2 linked regions of the Neurospora crassa OR74A genome follow. The protein of the gene in region 2 interacts with the protein of the main gene of each other region in a biochemical or structural test. Links are inferred from orthologs where the notes say so. Each region holds a gene or a part of one and is shown on either strand. Other genes may lie near its edges. The genes, in order: NCU08951 and NCU16757.

The links.
Region 1: the proteins of NCU16757 (region 2) and NCU08951 form a complex in vitro, tested with the Saccharomyces cerevisiae proteins (2 studies listed by BioGRID). The link is inferred for Neurospora crassa OR74A from reciprocal best matches to the Saccharomyces cerevisiae genes GAR1 and NHP2.

What each region holds. Positions count from the first base shown.
Region 1 is NC_026505.1:5,798,047-5,801,870, reverse strand, and holds NCU08951 (ribosome biogenesis protein Nhp2), read left to right. Parts: upstream 1-1,176; 5' UTR 1,177-1,429; coding exon 1,430-1,715; intron 1,716-1,822; coding exon 1,823-2,265; 3' UTR 2,266-3,014; downstream 3,015-3,824. Other genes in the region: NCU08952 (translation regulator GCD7), read right to left, coding at 1-406, 464-561; NCU08949 (hypothetical protein), read right to left, coding at 3,325-3,382, 3,461-3,824. UniProt on the Saccharomyces cerevisiae protein: Non-catalytic component of the H/ACA small nucleolar ribonucleoprotein (H/ACA snoRNP), which catalyzes pseudouridylation of rRNA and is required for ribosome biogenesis.
Region 2 is NC_026504.1:1,399,699-1,404,020, reverse strand, and holds NCU16757 (H/ACA ribonucleoprotein complex subunit 1), read right to left. Parts: upstream 2,777-4,322; 5' UTR 2,596-2,776; coding exon 2,538-2,595; intron 2,372-2,537; coding exon 2,172-2,371; intron 2,107-2,171; coding exon 1,702-2,106; 3' UTR 586-1,701; downstream 1-585. Other genes in the region: NCU07902 (hypothetical protein), read right to left, coding at 1-513; NCU16756 (hypothetical protein), read right to left, coding at 3,056-3,889. UniProt on the Saccharomyces cerevisiae protein: Non-catalytic component of the H/ACA small nucleolar ribonucleoprotein (H/ACA snoRNP), which catalyzes pseudouridylation of rRNA and is required for ribosome biogenesis.

The sequences.
Region 1 (3,824 bases), on a different chromosome or scaffold from region 2:
GGTAGATGCGCCGGTAACTGGTGACTGTGCGGTCTCTGAGACGCAGAGAAGGTTGAACATGGACTTGGACATGGGGAGAGTCGCGGCGCGGAGGGGCGTGGGGCCTGGCCTTGTGGAAATGGTGGGCGTTGTGGGCAGCTGGGAGAGGTCGGATACTGAGTCGCCCATCTCGTCGGCATTTCTGTCCTCGGAAGCCTCATCACGAATAAGACCCATTACTCGGCGGACAACGTTGCCGATGACTTGCTCAGTGGGAGCAGCTTGGGCAAGTCTGTGGCCGGTGTTGGAGACCTTTGCGAGCAGCTGATCGACGTTCTGCCACTTAGACTTGGCGACGACCTGGAGCAGCATATGGGCTGTGGCATTGGCGACATCATCGCCCTTGACTTGGCGACGTTTTAGGAGGCTGCCCAACCATGTTAGGATCTGATATAAGATAGATATGAAGCAGGCGTAGGCGTACTAAATAAGAGCCTCGATAGAAGCCTCCAAGGGCTGAGTGTTGAGAGACTTGAGGAGCTTGCCCAACGTGGGGGCATAGCTCATTTGCGACGACGCCATGGCGATGAGCTGTGTATAGTACTCTGTGTGCTACTGAGGTATTGTGGAGGTGATGTCGAAGTGAGAGTGCGACTGTTCCCTGCTCGAGGCTGTATGGTCTTTACGAATGGTACTGGACGGATATCTATGAAATCGATATAGGCGGGGGGGAATGACAAGGCTGCTGGTCGCAAAAAGGTTCTCCAACAATAGCTTCCAGAACTGGGCCAATGTCGCTTGGGATTGTGGACTTTTTGCCAGTGAATTGTCGAGGTGAGTCAATGGCTCACACTGAATGCGCTTGGAGGTAGGTATCACAAGCTCTAGAAATTTAGTGGGGCAGGCAAGCAACCGGCCTTCAAGGACAAAGCACTGCCGCTGTTTGCCAGTTTGCGGCAGGCTAGAAGCAGGCCTTGTTTAAGTTCAAGACTACTACTAATCCCTGTCGTACTGAATGGAAAGCCCCACCAAGCAAAAGGTGGAAGTTTAAGACATTTCCTCTTATCGCGTGCTTATCGGAAAATTGGTCCCTCTTATCGCACCCAATTCCAGGCGCTCACCTGCATTATCGGCCCCCGGGCGGAACGGCTTTACAATTGGCCTACAAATTTTTGGTCGCGTCGCTCTGCTTTGATTGACTGGGTCACTTGATGGACCCAGTAAAATCTGCGTTGAAGAATCCATTTCTGCGATCAACCGCCCCATCACGATACCAAATACCTTGACGCCCCAACCCAGTAACTTTTTTTTCTCTTTACTGCAGTGGTTGTCTGTATAACCATTCTTTAATTCCTGTTTGATACCCCATCCCCCTCCACCACCAACTTTATCTACACACACCCAACCACCACCACCAACAACAACACACACACACATTTAATCCGACAAGATGGGTGCCACCGACAAGATCAAGGAGAAGAAGGACAAGTCCGAGAAGAAGGACAAGAAGGAGAAGAAGATGAGCGAGGAGGCCGGTGTCAAGAAGGAGAAGAAGGACAAGAAGGAGAAGAAGGAGAAGACCGAGAAGCTCGCCAAGGCCGTCGAGGCTCACCTCGAGAAGGAGGGTTCCGTCGACCCTGAGGATGTCGTCAAGACCGCCGAGGACCTCGTCCCCTTTGCCCTTCCCCTCGCCGACGACAAGACCCACAAGAAGATTTACAAGTTGATCAAGAAGGGTACGTTTTGTGACTACTCTCCAATTGCATTGCCAGGCTCCTCAATCGCAGCCCACGCACGACTTGTACTGAACCCAAGCTAACTTTTGATTAAAAAAAACAAACAGGCGCCAAGCTCAAGTCCATCCACCGCGGCGTAAAAGAGTGCGAGAAGGCCATCAAGAAGTGCCCCCTCCGGACCGCCGCCTCCCCTCCCGCCGACGCTCCCGGCCTCGTCATCATCGCCGGCGACATCTCGCCCATGGACGTGATCATGCACTTCCCCATTCTGTGCGAGGAGCACGGCGTTCCCTACCTGTACATTCGCTCGCGCGCCGACCTCGGCGTTGCCGCCTGCACCAAGCGCGCCACCTCGGTGGTGATGCTCAAGCCCGAGGGCAAGAAGTCCTCTGGCAAGGAGGAGGGCGACAAGGTCGACCCTGCCGAGTACCTCGAGGCCTACAAGGAGCTGGTCAAGACGGCGCAAAAACAGTGGAACGTCCAGGTCGAGCCCTGGGTCAAGGGTACTCACCCGCTCCAGATCGAGGCCAAGGTCAAGGGCACTGCCTAAATTGGCGGGAGCAATGACTCGAGCGAAACAAAACACACAAAAGATGAAAGGCTGCAACGACATGATGGCGACAGCGGGAGCACATGAGACCATGACACTATTGCAGGTGCCGGTGTGATTGTGCGTCTGCTTGTTGCAAGAGTGTTCGTGTGCGTACGTGCTTTTTGCTCAGACAATCGGACCGTCTTACCGTTGAGAGAGAAGAAAACAGGCGACCGATCATCTTGGAGATTGGACGCTGGCGGGGAGCGCAAAGACTGTTATTCGATGGACTTTTGCCTGGGCTTGGGGAACAGATGAAGGAGGAACAAGTTTGTGACGCCTTAATCACAACCTCTATCACTCTTTTCTTCCCTCGATGTCGATTTCTGTCTCCGCTTCGGGCTCCTCCCACCTCTCGCTCTCATCACGAAAAGATTGTCGGATATCGGTCATCATCTCTTCCGCATTGACCACATCCGGTCGGCTCCCATGGGCTGGCTTGGTTGTTCTGGGCTTTTATCTAAGCTATAGATAGAGAGCATTGATGGGTTGACGGTTTTAGTCTATCCTGGTTTCGGTTATGGATTTATGGCGCTGGCTACTTGCTGTCATTAAAATATGGAAGGCGTTGCGGGGTAAACACTTGTATTTTGTACGGTATATATGAGAAAGGAATACCAAGTTCATCAGTTCTCATTTTCCAGTTCGTATATGTTCAAGCGTCTTTGGGTCGAATGCCGCGGGCTGTACTTCTGGCCTATGTCACGACACACAACACAACATCGACATGGCCAACTACCATCGCAACACTCAATCAGATGCAAGACAACTCCTGGTCACCAGCAGACAACAAGCACACGAGCCAAATAGTGAGTTATCGCCAGCGTCTTCCATTCATCTCAGGAATGCTGATACTATGCTAATAGCTTGATACAATACAGAGGGTACCAAGAAAAAAAACAGGAAATGCCCAGGAACACGCCCACACTCCAAATTGTAGGTGCGATACTCAAGTTCCCCATTATCATTAACTTCATTAAACCATACCAGAGTTCCTCTTACTCAAAAAAGGACCCTTTACTCGGCACGCCAGCTTGTCCGGCCGAGAGTAGGCGATCCGGAGGTAGCAGAGGCGCTGTTTCAACCATGTCAGCAGACTGTTCCCACAGGATATACCGTAGTAGATAGGTTCTTTTACAATAGGGTGACCCACTACTCAAAAGGGTTGGTGCGCGTTCCCCACCAGGTAAGGAAGACGGAAAGGCCGACAGTCTCAAACAGCTTAGCGAGGACGTTGATGCCGACAGTCTCAAAGGCGCGCTTCTCAACGAAGAACTCAGAGATGAAACCGGGAGCAGAGGTGGCAGCGAAGATGAGACCGCCGAGGTAGGCGGCGCCGCGGTAGCTGAGGGTGCCGGTGGCGTTGATGAGAGCGCCAATGCCGTACGACTGCAGGGCAGAGCCGACGAGGGAAGAGCCCCAGGCCATGACGGCCGAGGTGGCCTCGCGCGACTTGATGAACTCCTCCTTGCTGTTGGAGATCTTGGCGCGCTGGTAGGTCTGGCCGAAGAGGGGGG
Region 2 (4,322 bases):
TTCTCTCCGATTGTAAAGTTGTTTCCAGACCGACATTGACGCCTCGTAAAAGCCCTCCACATCCCAGTGCGAGATTAACCGTTTCGTAGCTCTTGCGTAGCCAGCAGGGCTAATCTGTTCGGCGAGATGGTTCTCAATAGCTTCTGTTTCGTTGACGTTGACCTTTCCCTGGTCGTAACAAGTCTGAACATCTTTGTAAATCTCGCTTAACCGTTCTTCTGGCTGCTTGTCTTCCAGGTCGGACCTTTCTCCGGATGCATGGCCGGCATGGATTTGGTCTCTTCCAAAGCCCACGAAAGATGGATTAAAGAGCCGAATGTAACGTATCTTTTGTTCCAAGGCATTGAGAGAATTCCTCCACCCCCTTTTCCGGAGTTGGTTGACTATGCTTCTTTCGTTTTGTAGAACTCGGACAATCACCAGATTGAGCGCCGCAAGTGTGAAAGTGAGGAGGCCGACAATGTTTGCGGCTGTGGAGAGTTTGCTGTCCTGAGGCTCAGAGTCGTCAGCCATATTGCAATCCTGGAGAGATGATACCTATGCATGCAAATGATGTAATGATATGGAGGAACGAGTTAGTGAAGGGGCCTCAACAATTGACATCGTTAGGGGAAGGTCGAGTTGCGTTTTGATCTATATACGGCTATCGCTGAACAAGGTTACAAGGACATGCGCCGGAACTAACAGTCCACCACCACGGGTCAACCTCAGTCCACACGGACCGCAGCCTGCACGGGCCCTTTAGAGTCACAAGCCATAATGACCCAAGCAGCCACTCAAGCCAATGGCAAAATGCCGGAAAGACGGGGAGGCGGACAACCATGCGCTGCTGTCTGGGTACATTGGTAACGGCTCGTGACCTGTTGTGCGCATAGTCGGCGGAAATAGGCACGAAGAGGCTCGACAATTCTTGATTCTTTTTCGCGAGGGGTGTTGTGGAAGTTGCGGCGTTGGAAGAATGATGGGTAGGAACACCTCGGACGGAGTGGGTGAAGACGAAGAAGAGGTTTCGGGTTGCGAGAGGTTCGTCGTTCGAAGGGGTCAGTTGCGGGCCGTTGATGCTTGGGGTTCAGTCGGTGCTATATCTGACGGGTTGGCGCTCGATATGCGGTCGATGTGTGGTTGCTGCATGGTCGATCATATTGGACTGGGGCCTCTGCTTACCCAGCTAGGCTACCGAAATCCAGTCCAACCCGAGGTTCAGGAGGATGTCGTGCATCTTTGAGGATCCCATTCGACGGCGGCGGTGACGTATACAACTGGGTACTGCCCTTGATTGTACGCAAGTGACCGGACACATAGCTGTCTGTCCGAACATGACCTGGTGCCTGTGCCAAGGACATTTTAATGCCCCAATTTCATCCACCGTCAACGTGAAGGCTTGTGAAGCCAGATCCAGATGCGCTCAGTTTGATGTGTTGTAGTCCAAAGAAACCGAAATTAGCAGACAGAGAAAACCGAGAGATGCCTACAGAGATAAAAACACAACTTGCCGAACCCTCCTGATGCGGCAGAAAGAATTTGTCCCTTCCATAACGCCACAAGCCATAGCCATTTTGAGGACCATGTTTAACAAAACCCAAGAACCTGGTAAAGCAACAAGTCTTTCTTCCGCTCCCTTTCCTTTCCAAGCAGCGCCAGCAGCAGCACCACTGGTTGGTGTCTTCGTCGTCGTCGTCGTCGTCACTCCTTCGCAACCGCTTAGTAGCCACCACGACCACCGCGGCCGCCACCGCGGGAGAAACCGCCGCCACCACGGCCACCACCACCCCTCGAGAAGCCGCCGCTGCCACCGCGACCGCCGCCCCTGCTGAAACCACCACCGCCGCCGCGGGAGAAGCCACCACCACCACCGCGAGAGAAGCCACCGCCGCCGCCGCGAGAGGAGAAGCCGCCACGGCCGCCACCGCGGGCACCGCCTCTGGGACCGCCACGACCACCAGCACCACCACGGCCAGCCTTCTTCACCTTGGGGGCGCCGAGAACCTTGGGCTTGGGGAGGAAACGCTCGAGAGGGAGGAGCTTCTCGGAGCCGACGAAGACCTTGTCGCCGGGCTTGAAGGAAGTAGCGACGATGCCGGTTTGGGGCTTGACGGTGAAGTAAACCTGAAAGAAGGAGAGGAGTGTTAATTTGATGTGCTATGGTTCATGTTTCGGAGGGAAGTGCGCACCTGGTTGAGAGGACCGAGAACCTCATCGATCTTGCCGATGGGGGTCTTGTTCTCAAGGAAGACCTGAGCGTTGAAATGGGGGATCTTGGGGTTGGTGGACTTGTAGAACATCTCGCCCTCGACGGCGTGCTCGAAGGTGCCGAGCTCGAGAACCTGGGCGGGGGGACCATCGTCGCGCTGACCGAAGCCACCACGGCCGCCTGTTGTAGGATATCTATGTTAGTTGTCATTGAACATTGGGGAAGAAGTATGGGTGAAAAGGTAAATCGCCCTGAGTGGCGCCAATGGTTGACGGCAAAGTGCGACCAAGGCGACGACATCAAGGTGTGCGATAACGGTTGATAATAGAAGAATAATGCGGCGTACCTCTGAAGCCGCCACGGCCACCGCGGTCACCACCTCCTCCACGACCTCTGAAAGACATGATTTGTTGGTTGGATTGGGTTGTTTGTTGAAATGGGAATACGGCAAGGGTGCGTCTTGCGTCTCCTCGCGCGTCAGTGAATTGGAGGACCGTCGGGTTCGGAGTGAGATGTTGACAATGATCGTTTCGCCGGCGCAGACAATTGAAATTTTTCCGTGTTCCTGGAAGACTGAAAGAGTAGCAATTTTTCCCGGCCGGCAATCGTCTGCAGATGTCCACCACCCCACCTAAGCCAGTCCCATTTTCAAACGGTTCCTGGCGGCGCATTGGCTCAATGCGAATTGTGGATGGACCAGGGTTAGTGGCTGCTGTGGGCTGTGGGTCCGTGCCCGGGGCCCTAAGAAACGCGAATGTGGGGATTTCGACATCACTTTGTGCAGCCCTGTAACAGTTTGACGGGAACACTTTCCGACTTCATCGATGCATTTTGCAGCTTCAAGTACAGCAGCTGTTCGCCTCATCACACTACACGACGCTCTGAAATTACCGTAATCGTATGGACATACTTGACCTCACCGCCCTCGACCCGGATCTCATGGCTATCCGGCATATTCCCCAGCGCATCAAACGAGCACAGCACGTCAACCGAACCCATCACCTCATCGATGACATATCGCCGATTTCCGTTGCGCTTTGAACTGCCTCCTCTCGGTAACTGAACACCACACGGTCTGGTATACTGCGATCCTTCAACGCGTTCACAGTCGGCCCCCCATGGAATACTATCAGCCGCCTTTGCATCCGTCCACATGTCGAGATAAGCATCCCCGACCTTTCTCAACAGTTCTCGACTTGGCCGATTCGCCGCCGTCTCAATGACGCCCCAGTTCTCCTTCTGGATGTACCCGAACGTCTTTTGGGCGTTGAAGAACAAGGACCCCGTCGTGGCAGCGATGGTGTCGATAGATGAGATGGTTGATGTGTCTCCATCGGCTGGATGACGGATCTGGGTTGCCGTGACATAGGGCTTGGAGTTGGAACCGCTCGCCAATGAGATGATCATGGTGTAGCTGGCGCAGGCAATGGTGTCGGCCGTTGATCGGTTGAGGCTGATGTTGTGCGACTGGCTGAGGATGCCGCGCTTGATGTCGGCTGCCTTGTTGTTTTCCTGGTAGGCAAAGTTGCTCAAGGTGAGTTGGAGGCCGTCAAGTCTGCCGGCGGAGAAGGCGTCTACATAACTGTTGGCTGCTGCTAGCAGTCCCTCCCGGGTACATTTCGCGAAAACAGAAGTAATGAGTGCAAGGAAGCAGACAACGGTGAACCAGACCGTGTCTTTGGCAGATCTGGACAGCATCGTGATGTGAAGGTAGGTGCTTGGCTGTGATTAGAGTAGCTGTTTCGGCCATGGACAACTTTGGTTCACGATGCTCGGCTGAGTGCTTAAGTACTCACTTCCAGGAGCCGATAGCTTCTGCCGAGTCTTCATCCTCGACCCCGTTTCATGAGTAGGCCTGCTGTGGATAAATGGAGGGCACTGATTAATTCTGCGAGGGGCACTTTACCACAGAGATATTACTTGCCGTTCCCCCTCTTACAATCTCCTGATATTGGCTGGCTTTAGGCTTTGTATCCTGCTCTAGCCTACCTACCATCATCCCAACATGCTTTTAACGCAACATTTTCAAAGATAGCCCGATATTGGATAAGGTAGGTGAAATGAAAGAAGGGACTGAGCCAATACGACCCTAACCCTTGAATTGCATGGTTTCACAAGCCTCGGCATGTCT